2 linked regions of the Astyanax mexicanus genome follow. The protein of the gene in region 1 purifies or fractionates together with the protein of each later gene. This does not show direct contact. Links are inferred from orthologs where the notes say so. Each region holds a gene or a part of one and is shown on either strand. Other genes may lie near its edges. The genes, in order: mapk3 and dusp6.

Region 1 (7,708 bases):
ACTGTGTTGGTCTTATACTGTAGAAAGTGAGATTTAAATAATAAGGATGAATAATATTAATTATTATTTGTTGGAAGCACATTTGACCTAAAATGATCAATGTAGGTGTAGAAGAGCTTAACCCAAACATTCAAAGCCTTTAGGATAAATGTATGTTGATTTAATGTCAGAATTTCAACCTTTTTTTCAACTGATGTCAAATTGTGGTTGTTTTAAAGTTGTTTTTTCTATCATTAACCTTAAAATGTATATAATTTCTAATGTTCCTTGCTATCATGAATGTTTGTAGTTGTTTTTGTTTGTTATTTTGATATATGCTCAACCCTGAACCCCTGAATCTCTTGTCAATGAAATTCATACTGGTTAATACATCTCTACACAGTGTCTGATGTTTGGTCTGGCTGAGGGTCTAGGGAACAAGTCCATTTTCCTTTTCTGTTTTGCACAACATTAATCATAACCAATCCATCTAACCACACCAGCTAGCCAGCAATATATTTCCAAGACTTTTCTTATCATCTTTAATTTGATAATAATATTCGTGTAAAGCATGTGACCTCATTTAAACACTTCAAGACTAAACTTTTAATCATTTGACTCAGGCACCAATTTGCAAACTGCCCGCTAGTTATATTCTGGTGTGATAAGAAGATCATATCTAACCAACTTAACAGAAGAGAGACAAATTTAGCTAGGTTATAACTCAATCTCTACAGCATCGTAACACTCATTATATCATCATATGACAGAGGTGTGAGCAGCTGTTGTAGAGTTTCTGTAGGACTAAAAAAGAATAAGATGTGTGTCACTGTGATCAAGGTAACAGCCCTGCTGAAACATCAAGCTTAAGACCAGATATTAATGTATAGATGGCCTGAGCTGGTCTTTGATGGTCAGTGTAGTTAACAATATGCTGATGTGAACTAACTAACCAGCCAGCATTTCAACATTTATTCATGACTGAATCAATATCATATTAAGATGCTGAAAAAGGTCTTTAGAAACAGAAGTATGATAACTCACAGTTTGTTTACAGGTCATTTTTTTTAATATTTTGTTTTTCTATTTTCACACAAATACATTTTGTTACAAGTCGTATTATTAAAAAATAAAATCTTTAATAATGATTAATGATATGTATAAGACAAGCACATTAAATTGATAATAATTTAAGGTTTTGCTGTCATATTGGTTTACCAGTGTGGTCATGCTTATCATGCTGTTTAAAACACTGTAAACCCACAATTAGTTTGAAGTAAAACAAAATTAAGCCTGTTTTATCTAAAATTTCATATTTCCAAACATTACTCAACTATTTTATACTAGGTGAACATTCGTGCCCACATACAGTATACAAAAAATAGGAGACCAGTTTCTGAATCAGTTTCTCACAGTTAAAAATTTCATGTTTAGCTTGGTTTGATGGCTTCTGATCATCCATCTTCCTCTTGATTGTATTCCAGAGGTTTACAGTTTAGTAAAATCAAAGAAACTCATCACTTTTAAGTGGTCTCTTATTTTTTCCGAAACTGTACACATTTAAACAGAGATCTTTGTCAGAGATCAGAGAGTTTTGTCTGTTGCCACTGGCAGCTTCTTTTCCATTGGCTTCTGGTACAACCTGTTTGAATTCTGGATGTGTTTCTGACACTAACATCCATCTGTGTATCTGTCTGTCTGTCTGTCTGTCTGTCTGTCTGTCTGTCTGTCTGTCTGTCTGTCTGGCTGGCTGTCTACCAGATTGATAGTGCTTGTAATACTGGTCAATGTATGTGTTAATGCTGGTCAACCAGTAAGTTCAAGCTTAGTCATAATTGTTATTTATCGGGGCCAGATGGACCATGCTTGAAGACTAGATTATTCAATCAGCTTTACCAGCTTGACCAGCATGAGGGAAAAACATAACAACATGAAAATTGGGTTATTAATCATTGGATTCAATCATTAGAGGGCTGTCTAATGGAAAACTATTACCTCATTAGTAGTTTGTGCTTATCAAATTACTGCCACAACACAAATGTTAATTTCTGTTATCACATTTCTTACTGTTTCTAGCTTACAGTAATGCTTTCCTCACAGTGGAGTGGCTTGCCCTCTACTGCTACATTATTAATATATGCTATTGCTGAATATAAATGGATGGGCATTTTAGCCCACAATCTAGATATGTTTTAGTCAAGTCACTGTAGTTCAAGAATAACTTTATTTAAACCTTTATCTGTCTGTCTATGTTAAAACACTGGCTATATAATTGACAGTGCAGGGATTTTTTTTTACATGTAAAAGGGCATGCTAACTCGTTAACTTTTTATCACTGTTGATTTATGTCACGTAATCAACTTCATATTCATTCATATCACATTTACATATCAGTGACAACACAAGCACACATCAACTCACATTACAATGACTAACACATTTAATTTCATAATATGTAGGGCGTAGAGTGTGTATGTTTATTAAAACAGATCTTAAGATTAATGTCATCAGTTTGCTCATGGGCTTATCTCTTTGATCTCATGATCTTATCGAATTAGAGTGGTTCACTATGATGGGAGCACGTATAAACCTGAATGTTTGCTTACATGATTCGCACAGACACAAGATACATTCCTATCATCCCACCGCTTCTCAGTGAAGAGGACTATACAGTGAATTTGGACATTTTAGGTGAGATGTGAAAGTATATGGAGTAAAGTGTTCAGTTTAAAGGGAACTTTGCACTGCATACTGAAGAAAGTACTGTATGAGTTTATCACTAGGAATTTGTCAGTAATGTTTACCCATCATTCCGTGTATGTCTCACTGGCTGGGGCTCACCATGAACACTACAACACGGTGTACACACAACACAAATCTGCTGTTGTTTAGCCATAAAATCACATATATTCTTTTTGTGCATACACAGCTGTGACACAGGCCTGTCACAGTATATTGTATACACAACATATTCATAAGAGAAGCACCGATGTGGGAATTCTGAGCTGATGGCGATATCTGATATTTCACCACCTCTGCCAATGGTGATGTGGATATCCACATTTATAACTTACAGAGAGACTACACACCCCACTATACTGTCTCCTCCACAAGTATTAGGACAGTTAGGCCAGTCCTACTATTGCTATCTGCTGTAAACTGAAAACATTTGTGTTTATTATTAAAAGACAGAAGATAGAACCTTTTGTCTGACAAAACACAAAACAAACAAAAATTTGCTGTCTTTTGTCTTCAGATTCAGATGCAGAAATAAATAGATTGGCCTCACTGTTCCAATATTTTTGGAGTGGACTGTAACTTTATAACTTTAAAACAAATATATATATTTTTTTTTATTGCTTAAATCAATTAATTTTAAAGTAGCACATGCAGTGTTGGGTAATTGTAGCAGCACGGCAAGCATCACTTGGTCCTTTTCCTCTGCCAAACAGGTGTCCTAGCGTCCAATTTTTTTTTCAAAATTAACATTTTAATATAACATTATAGTCATTATGGCTTTTAGAGAAATAGCACTATAGGCTCCTGTGGTGCCGCCTAAACTTTTGTCCTTAATGGCATTTTTCCCCTTACTTATACTTTATATTTTATAATTCAAGTAGTTTTGAAACCAGAACATTTACATTTTTACTTGAGTTGATACTTTAACTTCTACAGAAGTATTTTAAACCCTAGTATCTATACTTCTACCTGAGTAATGAATGTGGATACTTTTGACACATTTGTTTTCCTATACCTGTGGCCATGGAAGTGATTAAAACCAGTCAGTCAGTCAGTGAGTCAGTCAGTGACTCAGTGGTTTGGATGGGTGAACGAATATGTTTTGTAATTTTGTGTTTTTAATTAAATTTACTTTAAATTGACTTTTTAACAAACTTAAAAATTTTAATGGAACAATTCATAAATTTTTGTTTTGAACGTGCTTTTTTATTTTTTTGAGGTGAAGAAATTTGACGTTAAGAAAAAATACATTTCAAAATATGATTTTCAGATTTGGAAAAATCAGATGCATAAATTTCAGATAGATCAATTCAAATCAATCTACTGGATTACATCTTTGTTCTAATATTGTATTCTTGAGTTTCGAATAAAATAGATTTTAATTTAATTTGGATTTTTTTATTTTATTTTATGGGTTTTAACAGCCATTTTCACTACCTCCAATTTCAAAACACAAAAAGTTGTTAGAATTAAAATGTTTGAATCTCCTCATTAAATATTTCAAGTTTATTCAAAAGTCAGGTAAATTTAATTCAAATATACAAAATGCAGATTCAATACTTATGTCAATACTTTTAAGCCACATATAGCTGCTAATAAGGTTTAATAGTAATATAATATACTGGTAATAACCCCGCTAATCGTGGGCGGCGCAGATCTGCACACGCCCAGCGTCGCTGCACGGGAGGGATCCGCGTCCACACACTCACACAGTCTTTATCGAAGAGGAGGAGGAGGGCCTCGATTTATCGACTCCTCTTCGACTGTCAGGCGAGCGCACTCGTCCACGGAAAACCACCGCGGCCGCGATCTCAACAAACAGCAGCAGAACACGCGCGGGGACGCCTTTTATCGCCTGAACTCGTTTGTATTGATCTGAGGGTGCGGATTTGTGGACGGAGTGATGGCGGACTCAGGCAGCAGCGCAGCGGCAGCCGGAGCCGCAGGCTCGAATGGGAGCGCCGCCGGGGCAGGAGGAGCGGTGCCGCCCGGGGGAGCGACTGGAGCTGCGGGATCCAAGCCCGGCCTTGAGTCCGTGAAAGGGCAAAATTTTGACGTGGGCCCTCGCTACACCGATCTGCAGTACATCGGGGAGGGGGCGTACGGGATGGTTTGGTAAGGGGAGGAAGTGTTTGCTGACATTTCTGTGTTTTTGTTACACATTTTAACGATATAAACACCATGAGAGAAGCTGCTGCTGCAACAGTAGGGTGGGCTCAGTTCGCTAGCGTTAGCTTAGCAGCGTAGCTAACCTAGCAGGATACTTGTAGGGGTGGATAACCCAGGTCCAGAAAGTAAAGGGCCAACCCAGGGTTTTGTACCAACTGCCTGGGCGGCTATGCTGCAGCTGGTACAAACCCTGGGTTGGATTTTTACTTTCTGGACCTTGGTTACCCACCTCTACAAGTATATAGCTAGCGACTTATCCTAGCTGTCTTACGCGCTAGCTTAGCATCGCATAGTCGGCTATGCTGGTAAATCCAGGTTCATGATTTGAAAAAGAAATCCAGGCCAAGATTTGTTTCCAACGGCTTTAGCAGAGCCTCTGAAGTCGAGCTACAGCAGCGCTGCCAATGCAGTTGGAATAAAATCCTGGGCTGGATTCTGGCTAACGCGAACTTTCTGGACCTGGATTTACCAACACTAGCAGTTGGATAAAAAAAGTAGGTGTTGGTCCTTGGTGGCTGTTTAAACTAGATAGTTAACGTTATATTAAACGACAATTGTAGCTAACTGTAACGTTAACCATACGCTATATAGCTAGCTATATCTGTTTATATAGGACGTTCTCCAAGCGTTAACTAAACATTATCCTAACATTATCCAGCAACTAACCTAGCTAACTAAACAAGATGACGCTTAACGTTAACTATGTAAAAAACAGGCGAAGATGTTGTGCATTACAATACAGTTAACTAGCCAGTTACAAACACAGACGCATAATAATAATAAACCCGCCCATAATAATGTTAATGAGAATAATAAAGACAATAGTAGTAAATCAAAAAGTGAGATAATAGAATACAGTAAAAAAAAAAAGCAAAGCAAAAAAGTGTTTGCATAACTAACAGTATAAGCTAACTAGCTAGTCAAGACGTTGGTGTTAAGACATAACAGGTAGCTAGTTAGCTAGCTAACATAAATAACAAACATAATAGATACGCATAACCGAGCTAGCTAAAGAAAAAAAAAATAGATATGGGTAAAAAGGAGTTAAGTAGCTAACTAGATGTTTAGTATACAAACAGTGTAACTATCAGCTGGGTTAGCTAGTTATTTATGTTAAGAATGTCAAATAAAGGATTAGCATTATATTTAAACGTTAAAATATAGTAAAACATGCTAGCTAACGATAGCTAATAGGAAAAAAAGATGCAAAGGATTTGCAAGGAAGCGAATCAAGCAAGCTGTCATTTTGATGCTCATCCTGTTAGCTTACCTAGCTAACCTAAAGTTTATACAGGCATTGGCCTTATATTTTTAACCAAACCACAATATAAATGTTACTAAAGACATGTCCATGTCCGCTCTGATAATTTTTGTTTTTTTTTCGTCGCCCAATCTCTAAAAGAGCCAGTGTTTGGCTGGTTAGCTAACTTAGCTGGCTAGTTGTGAGCTAAACCTGCATGCTAATCCATTAGCTAGCGTTTAGCGGCTTGACATTTCATTATGTGCTGCCTGTAGGAAAGGCGTGGTTTTACCATAATGCTAATTGTGTGTTTAGTCGGGGGAGTGAGGTGGCAGAAATGCTGCTTTTTTCAGGATTTTTAAACGCTCTGAATGTTGCTAAATGTAGTTAAATGCATTAATAGTTGTTGTGCTTTGTAATTAACACTGAATTGGCAGTCAGTTAGTTCACGTTAGGTGGCCCAGCGAACACACAGCATTGTCACAACGTTGGCTACGTTCTTACAACGTTGCTACAATGTTGTCAAAAGGTGGCTGTTCTTCTCATCACAATGTTTTGTGCTTTTCTACAAGTCTGCTGCAGTGGGATTAGAAAAGAAAATCAATCTTAGCTTTCAACGGAAGTCAGTGAAAAAGATTTTATGTCCAGTAATTTTAAGCATTTCTATTGGTCCATGAAATGATCAAATTACAAATCCACACTTTTAATCACAAACCTACAGACCCCCTATGGTGACAACGTGGAATAAAATATGTACTTATTAGTGACCAAAGCTTAATTAAAACTTGAGAACCAGATAATTAAGTCGTGGGGACGATTGTTATGGTCAGGACTCAATTTGTCTTGTTCCCACACTAAGTCATGGCCACACATTAAAATCTTGTTCCCACACTTGGTTGAGTCGTGGCCACAAGTAAGGATCTTATTCCCATGCCTAAATAAGGTATGGCCACACATTATGATCTGTTCTCACGCTTTAATAAGTCATGGCCATGCATTAGAATCTCGTTCCCATGCTTTATTAAGTCGTGGCAATGCATTCAGATCTCATTCCCATGTGTTTTTAAGTCGTGGCCACGTATTATGATCTCGTCCCCACGCTTTAAGTAATGGCCACACATGAGAATCTCATTCCCATGCTTTAACAAGTTGTTATTATTATTATTATTATTATTATTATTTATTTTTATTTTTTTTTTGTATGTTTTAACATGGTGTCACCTTTGTAGTAAACAGAAAAGACACGCAACTTTTTAAAATAAAAAACGTTATGTATAGTGGATTTGATAATATTAACAAAAACAATACATTGTATAGCTATATATGTTTATATGGGGCTTTCTCCGAACGCTCAAAGTGAATAACAAAATATAAACCTAACATTGTCTAGCTTGCAAACTTGGCTAGCTATGTAAAATTTACAAACATATATATATTTATTTAAAAAAGTGACATTTTATTAAATTATCTGATTACTGATTATGTCAATTATTTTACAACAGGTGGCCATGAAAATTTTGCAAGCATATCAAATACACGTTTTTCATAAGATAATGATGATATACTCTTTCCCAGACATCT
Region 2 (7,385 bases), on another chromosome or scaffold:
ATCGGCCTGTAAGTCTGTGCTGCTTTGCCTGGCTAGCATTAGCTAGATGCTAAGCGCTAACTCTCTCAGAGGTGAGTTTTATCAGCCTGTAATCTGCTTGTTTACAGTGTTAAAACAAGCTACGGGGGACGAATCGCTAGCTAATATCTCACTGTCTTACCAGAACACGCAGGATTACTCAGTGTAACGCTGTCGTTTAAGTTTGGGTTAACTTTACTAGTTTAGGTGACTAGCTAGCGTGCTAGCGGATAGCTATGCTAACGCTGGTGCAGCAAGCCTTAGTGGACATCTGGAAATCTAAGCTTACTGTAAATAAACTGAAGCACGTTACTCACCCAAATAAACAGTTTTCAGGAGAGGAATCTGTGTAGATTAATATCCAGCACTCGTTTGACTTTGAAAGAGCTAGATTTATATATACTGAGACGCTCCACCGGCAAGCGACCACCCCCGGTGGGGGAAGGGAAACATGGCGCCACCCCTGTTCACTTTGATATAGGCACCCTTTCTAGTGTCACTTAACGCGCCTTATAATGCGATGCGCCCTATGTATGGAAAAATAGCAGAAAATAGGCGTTCTTTGATAGTGCGTCTTATAATACGGTGCGCCTTATAGTCCGAAAAATACGGTATTTGTTTGGAATGTACTAATAAATAACACTTAAATCAAATGTTTAAGCAAGAAATTCTTTACTCCTTTGCAGCAATCGGGACTTCGGCTGGAAATAGTTTAATCATTTTCTCACTCCTCCCACCATCTCTCCAAACAACATTATGGGATCTTTTTTTTTTTTTAAATGTAGATTCTCCTAATGCTAAAATAAATGAAGTGAACAGTGTCATCATACCCTGTCTCAACATTTGATTGGAACTGCGCTCCACTACTTAAAACAGGCCATCCCAAAAACTAGACCAATGCTTGTTTTAGCTTTACTGCTGAACAAAAGGAGCAGTGTCTTTTATATTCAAATGTATGAAACAACTAAGAACTAAGACAATTAATGTTACATGCACAACACATGTACCTTAATGTGGGGGAGGACATGGAGCCAGTCTACGCAAGACAAAGACTTTTACAGACTCCTGGCCCGCAGGTGTTTTGAGAAATTAAGTCCTAGGCAGAACAGAAACAAGAAATCAGAGACTCCAAAGACAAGTTTCTAAAAGCTGCAGGGTAATGTCTGTTGCAGTGAACTCCCTGCCATGCATCCGAGGTTAAGAGCTCTGAAACTGCACACACCTTTTCTGCATGGTCGTTCTGCATGTGAATGGCAGGCCTAAATGGACTATTAAGGGCAATTGGCCGCTGGCCTCCACAGGAGACAGTGTGTCTGAGAACAGTGGCTGCTCTGGATCTTACTTTACATTTTTCATCAATGTGATGCAACTTTTTAGTACAAATACCAGAACCCTCTGGATTCCTGAGTGCTACTACAGGAACCCTTAGGCCAGGGGTGTCAAACTCATTTTGGCCGAGGGCCACATTGGCATATTGGCTGTCCTCCGAGGGCCAGATGTAACTTATAAATGTAATAAAATGTAACCAAATGTAATATATGTAAATGAATGTAATTACTCCTTAATGTTAAATAACTCTCAATATATTATTTATTCAATCAAATATTACAGTTGCATGGAAAAAATGTTTGCTTGTTGCTCTATTAACATAAATCCTTTTAATTTGTCATGTCATGAAATCCAAAAACTCCATCAATCAAGAACCAAACTATTCAAGTGAATAGAAATGACATGACATCAAGTTATATTAACTTTGAAATTATTAACTGAAATAAGGCTTAATAAATATAAAATCAAATTGTGAGCTGTTAAGAACATAGCATTTCCTCAGATTTAGCAGTTCCTCATCCAACCACTAGTGGGAGCTGCAGCAGCAGCAGCACCACAAGTCCGCAGTCTTTACTGAGTCAGAGCTACAGCCCAGCCACGGGCTACAGGGCTCAGCTCAGCCAGTCTGGAGCGTTTTTAAAATTTTTAAGTTCTTCTGTGTATGAAATAAAGATTTTTGTAACCGAATAATACAGCTCTCTACAGTTCATCTTTCAGCCCAATCAGCTAACAGCAGCCGTTTAGAGCATGAGTCACTGCTGGGATTACATTGTAAACAGGTCAGTTATCGCGCTGCTAACCTCAGGATGTTTATAACTACGGAGTTTAGTGGACACACCACGGCAGCAAGGTTAGACTGTTGAAGGCTACTGAAGACTATTAAAGGCTATTGGAGGTTATTGAAAGGGTTATTGAGGGCAGAAATTAGTAAAGGCTGGTTAGATAAGTGATTCACGTCCTCGTACTTTGCTGCGGTGAAACTGCGACTAGCGCTGTCCCAGTGATGTTTATTAACGTCATTAAAACAGATTTTGTCAGCTATTGTCTTATAAATATTTACACAGAACTTATATCTCTCCTAAAAAGCGTTTATTTTGGTCAGTAACACTCTTCGTAACACAAAAGGCATACCGGTCTTTCGCCTTGAAGCACAGCCGTCCGTCTGCATCAACTTCTCTTTTTCTGGACATTATGGGATAAACATTTATGTCTCAATTCCACCCGCGAAGTTACACCTTCCCTCCGGCAGGGTTTCCACATCAATGACTACACTGCCGTGTAGTGGCAGTAAGCCGTAACTTTGCGGGTAATACAATCGACAAGCATTGTGGGAAATGTATTTTTTGGTCAAAGAACGCTTCTGACTTATTTATTATAGACACTAAGATCTTACAAGCTCTCGCGGGCCACATAAAAAGACGTGGCGGGCCACATTTGGCCCGCGGGCCTTGTGTTTGACACATGTGCCTTAGGCTAATGAAGGTATGAACATTTTCAGATCAAGATTTATCTCTGAACAACAAACTGAACATACAGAGCAGTGATTTGCTGGAGTACTTTATCAAAGCTAACGTATTCTCTAAACTGGATTACAATGGATCTGAGGTAATCTGATCTAGCAGCACTGATCCATACCTAACCATACCCAACATCATCATTCACCAGATTACTAACAAAAACAATAGTTTATCTACTGCTAATAATCACGATCATAGTAGGAGTTACATTTTAACATTTCCACTTCACAGTCCATTAATATTAATGATATAATAAATCTCCCCCCCAGTTAACTGTTAAGAACTTAAAGTGTTTCCTGTACAGATTGCAGTGGACTAGCTGTAATACAGAGAATAAAGAAAAGCATTAATTTGGGGGATTGGCGAGTCTGGATCTTTCCTGGGTACGTGTGCTAAACTGATCTAATGGTTCTGCTAATGTGTTTATTGAATCATCGTTTACACAGGATATAGACCTGCTGAACAGCCAGAGAGCCATCAGCATCTGATCATGTGGCACGAAGTGCGATATCTCCTGAGCGAAACCCCTGCGTGGGGGGTTATAACAAAACAGCATCACGGCATTGTAGTTGTTCTTTAAGACACTATAATAAACACAAACTAACTGACAACATATGTTCCACTGTGTAGATTAACTGTAGTGTAAAGGTTTTGACCTTTCTATACAAACATAATAAATGAACCAATAGTAATCTAAACACTAAAACATTATGCACATTTTATATTGCAGCTCATATTAATTGCATTTTTGAATCTACACAATATGTTTAAAGCTAAATTACTAAAATAATGAAATTAGATGTTTATTGTTATTTTACAATGTTGCTTACTTTTCGCATGCATTTTTTATTCTAGCACCCCATAAAAGTATATATTAGTATTTTAAGTAACACCACTAATATAAAAAGTGCGCTTTATTAAGAACAAGGTAATCACAGAATATTTTTGTGATTAACCGGATTGTTTTAATCTCTCTCTCTCTCTCTCTCTCTCTCTCTCTCTCTCTTTATATATATATATATATATATATATATATATATATATATATATATATATATATATATATATATATATATATATAGTGTGTTTATATAGTTACAGGGTGTAGGGGGAGTAAAGCCCCCTCCTCCCCTCTCCCCGGGTTGTTTGCGGTGTTGCGGATCCGGAGCGGAAATTCCTTTCCGTTTTTGTGAATGACAAACTCATTAACTATTCATGTTCGCGGCCTGTTCCATCCGGCTCCGTTGCCGAGGCGACCAGAGCTCGGCGCTCTCCCATTGGTCGGCGCGTGTAGAATGCGGCCATTGAAACGAAACGCCCCTCGCGCCCCGAGCTCCATTCACTCTGTGCTGTCTGTCTGTGTGCAGAGGAAAACCTGCGCGCGCTGCTCACAGATCCGCTTCTAAAACCAGCGAGGCTCGCGGAGCAACATCAAAACAGAACCGCGCGCACTGAACGGAGAGTAACCCGCGTGCAGACCGCGCGCTGTGCCCGATACACTCTCCAACACCGGAGCGCGCTGCGTTATATAACGAAAGAGGCGACGTCAGCGGCGGCGGCTCCGCTCAGTGGCTGCCGCTCGAGCCATTGATAAACGCGCACGCGTTCTCGGTGCACTGCATGAATGGAGAGAAGCTGAGCGCGCGCGGGCTCGACTCGTTGACGGGGATTTCAGTCAGCAGCGTGTTCTCCCTCCTGCTGCTGCTGCTCTGGTGAACGGATCTGCTGCTGCGTTTAATGCTCAAGGCCTTGCGGCTCCGTGATCTTCGTTCGGCTCGGTAAAGGGGTTTCAGACAGACCGGAGGCGCGCGCTCGCTCGCTCCCTCTCTCTGCTCAGTCCCAATGCTCGATAAGCTCCGGCCCGCGCAGCTCGACTCGGCGATGGCGATCAGTAAGAGCGCTGAATGGCTGCGGGAGCAGCTCGAGACGCGGCGCGACGGATTGCTGGTGATGGACTGCCGCGCGCGCGAGCTCTACGACTCGTCGCACGTCGATACGGCCATCAACGTCGCCATCCCGAGCCTCATGCTGCGGCGGCTGAAGAAGGGAAACCTGCCCGTCAAGTCGCTGCTGTCCAGCGGAGAGGACCGCGAGAGGTTCGCGCGGAGGTGTAAGACCGACACCGTGGTTCTGTACGACGAGTACAGCCGGGACTGGAACGAGAATGTGGACGGAGGCTCCGTGCTCGGTTTACTGCTGAGGAGGATGAAGGACGAGGGCTGCAGGGCTTTCTACCTGGAAGGTGTGTGAGATTAAATCACAGAATCCGGCTTTAACCTTATCATCTCTTATAGTTATCATATCATAACTTTTTGTATAATGGGTAAAAATGAGCTGCAGTGGTAAGACGTTATATTTTATTTGAAAACGTAAATCTTAACCTAGTAATATAATTCATTTATATTAACATAGATTTTTGGTTTAACATTTTGTTGCTTAAAATATTCACCTTCAAAACAAATGTACACTCTATTCATAATGTAAGCGTGTTTCTGTGTTTCCGTAATCTGCCATTTAAAACATTAGTCAATAGAACATTGTGTTCTTACTCCAGTCTTAAAGCATTAGTCATTAGTTTTTAATTACTTTATGTATTTATATTTTTCAGTGTTAAAGGGACTTAATCTGCAAAAACAGGTCTTCTCATGCCTTCCCTATAATGTTTTAGTCTTTATAAAAGAAGGCATTAACCTTAGTGATAAAACCATACACTGAATTGTTAATCTTCTAGTAAAAACATTTGTCTTAACTGTTATCTTAAAAGCATGCTGAAGTCTACAGTAACACTCCTGATAAAACTTGCTTTGTTCCAGTTGAAATCTGGTGTGTTTTTTTTTTTTTATCGTGGCCTGTCTTTTTACAGCCTATGTTAGTGAAAGCATTAGGAAAGTCTCAGTGCCAGATCTGACTTTTATTAAAATTAAATTTTTGTACACTTGTACTCAGCTGTTTTTATTATTCCTAACAGGGGGCTTCAGCAAATTCCAGGCCGAGTACCCTGCACTGTGTGAGACCAACCTCGATGGCTCCTCCAGCAGCAGCTCGCCTACGGCTCAGGTGCTGGGCCTGGGAGGGCTGAGGATCAGCTCGGACTCCTCGGACATCGAGTCGGACATTGACCGTGACCCAAGCAGTGCCACAGACTCGGACGGCAGCCCGCTGTCCAACCCGCAGCCATCTTTCCCTGTGGAGATCCTGCCGCACCTGTATCTGGGCTGTGCCAAGGACTCCACAAACCTGGACATCTTGGAAGAGTTCGGCATCAAGTACATCCTCAATGTTACCCCCAACCTGCCCAATCTGTTCGAGAATGCCGGGGAATTTAAGTACAAGCAGATTCCCATATCCGACCACTGGAGTCAGAATCTCTCCCAGTTCTTCCCAGAGGCCATCAGCTTCATTGGTAAGTGTAAGATAAATACAAAGACAAGTACACGCAGTCTGATATAACATCTGCAAACTAATGTTGGGGAAGCACCTGGATTTGTTTTTAATTTGTTTTATTATGACAAAGGATATTTTTGTCCTCTGATTTACAGCAGCTCATTTCACCAGAGCACATTCGAAGGCATGGCATGTAAAAAACTTAAATGTAGCCTTTATTACACAAATGGGTCAGAAATAAAACCTAGATCTAACATTAGGAAGATCTACTAACCCAGAGCCAAGAAAAGGCACCTCTTTGTTTAAATTGTAACTAGTCAGTGTTTGAGTGGATGCCACTGTTCCTTTATATTTGCGAGTTTAGCTGAGCCTTGTGCAATTGTGGTACAAAGGCTTAGGATGAAAGAGGAGAAGGGTAGGGGGGTGGGTGTAATTTGAGCTTAACAGGAAGGAAGCAGCATTGAAAGTAATGTAGGACAGAGCAGTGTTTCTCCACACAATGGGGCCCATTTACAGGGGAATGTTGACATCCTGCTAGCCATGACAGGGTGCCCCCATGACTTCTACATTTACACACCCAAATGGTGCCATTGTCAAGTAACCTGGTGAGCGGAAGGATCATTTGATAGGCCATAATAGCCCATTTCCATGTCAGAATTCACAAAGAAAATGGAAGATTTGTTTTTTTCCCTGTCTTCTGTCATGCACTGGAGAGTCTAATGAATTCTGACACACAGCCCTCTCTCTGTCTCTCGGCAGCATGGCTAATGTAGTATTACACATTTATAAGGGCACTTTGCCTTAGCCACGCAATCTCGCAAATTATATGTAGAGGAAACTGAGTTTGTGGCTCCTCAGGTTGTTTATCTGGTCTTGCCAGATTGGTGCTTTGTTTTGTTTGTGTTGTGTGCATATGTGTTTGTATGAGCCCTGGAGGACATAAATTAATCAGCTTTCTTCTTCTTTCCTGTTCAGATGAGGCCCGAGGACAGAAGTGTGGTGTTTTGGTGCACTGTCTGGCTGGCATCAGCCGTTCGGTCACAGTGACCGTGGCCTACCTCATGCAGAAGCTTAACCTGTCTATGAACGATGCCTACGACATCGTCAAGATGAAGAAATCAAACATCTCACCCAACT

What was found.
Region 2: the proteins of mapk3 (region 1) and dusp6 purify together in Homo sapiens (affinity purification with mass spectrometry; 7 studies listed by BioGRID and IntAct, with this or other methods). This does not show direct contact. The link is inferred for Astyanax mexicanus from reciprocal best matches to the Homo sapiens genes MAPK3 and DUSP6.

What each region holds. Positions count from the first base shown.
Region 1 is NC_064426.1:25,608,849-25,616,556, forward strand, and holds the start of mapk3 (mitogen-activated protein kinase 3), read left to right. Parts: upstream 1-4,414; 5' UTR 4,415-4,621; coding exon 4,622-4,833; intron 4,834-7,708.
Region 2 is NC_064417.1:17,625,530-17,632,914, reverse strand, and holds the start of dusp6 (dual specificity protein phosphatase 6), read left to right. Parts: upstream 1-4,198; 5' UTR 4,199-4,706; coding exon 4,707-5,106; intron 5,107-5,832; coding exon 5,833-6,267; intron 6,268-7,223; coding exon 7,224-7,385. UniProt on the Homo sapiens protein: Dual specificity protein phosphatase, which mediates dephosphorylation and inactivation of MAP kinases. Has a specificity for the ERK family. Plays an important role in alleviating chronic postoperative pain.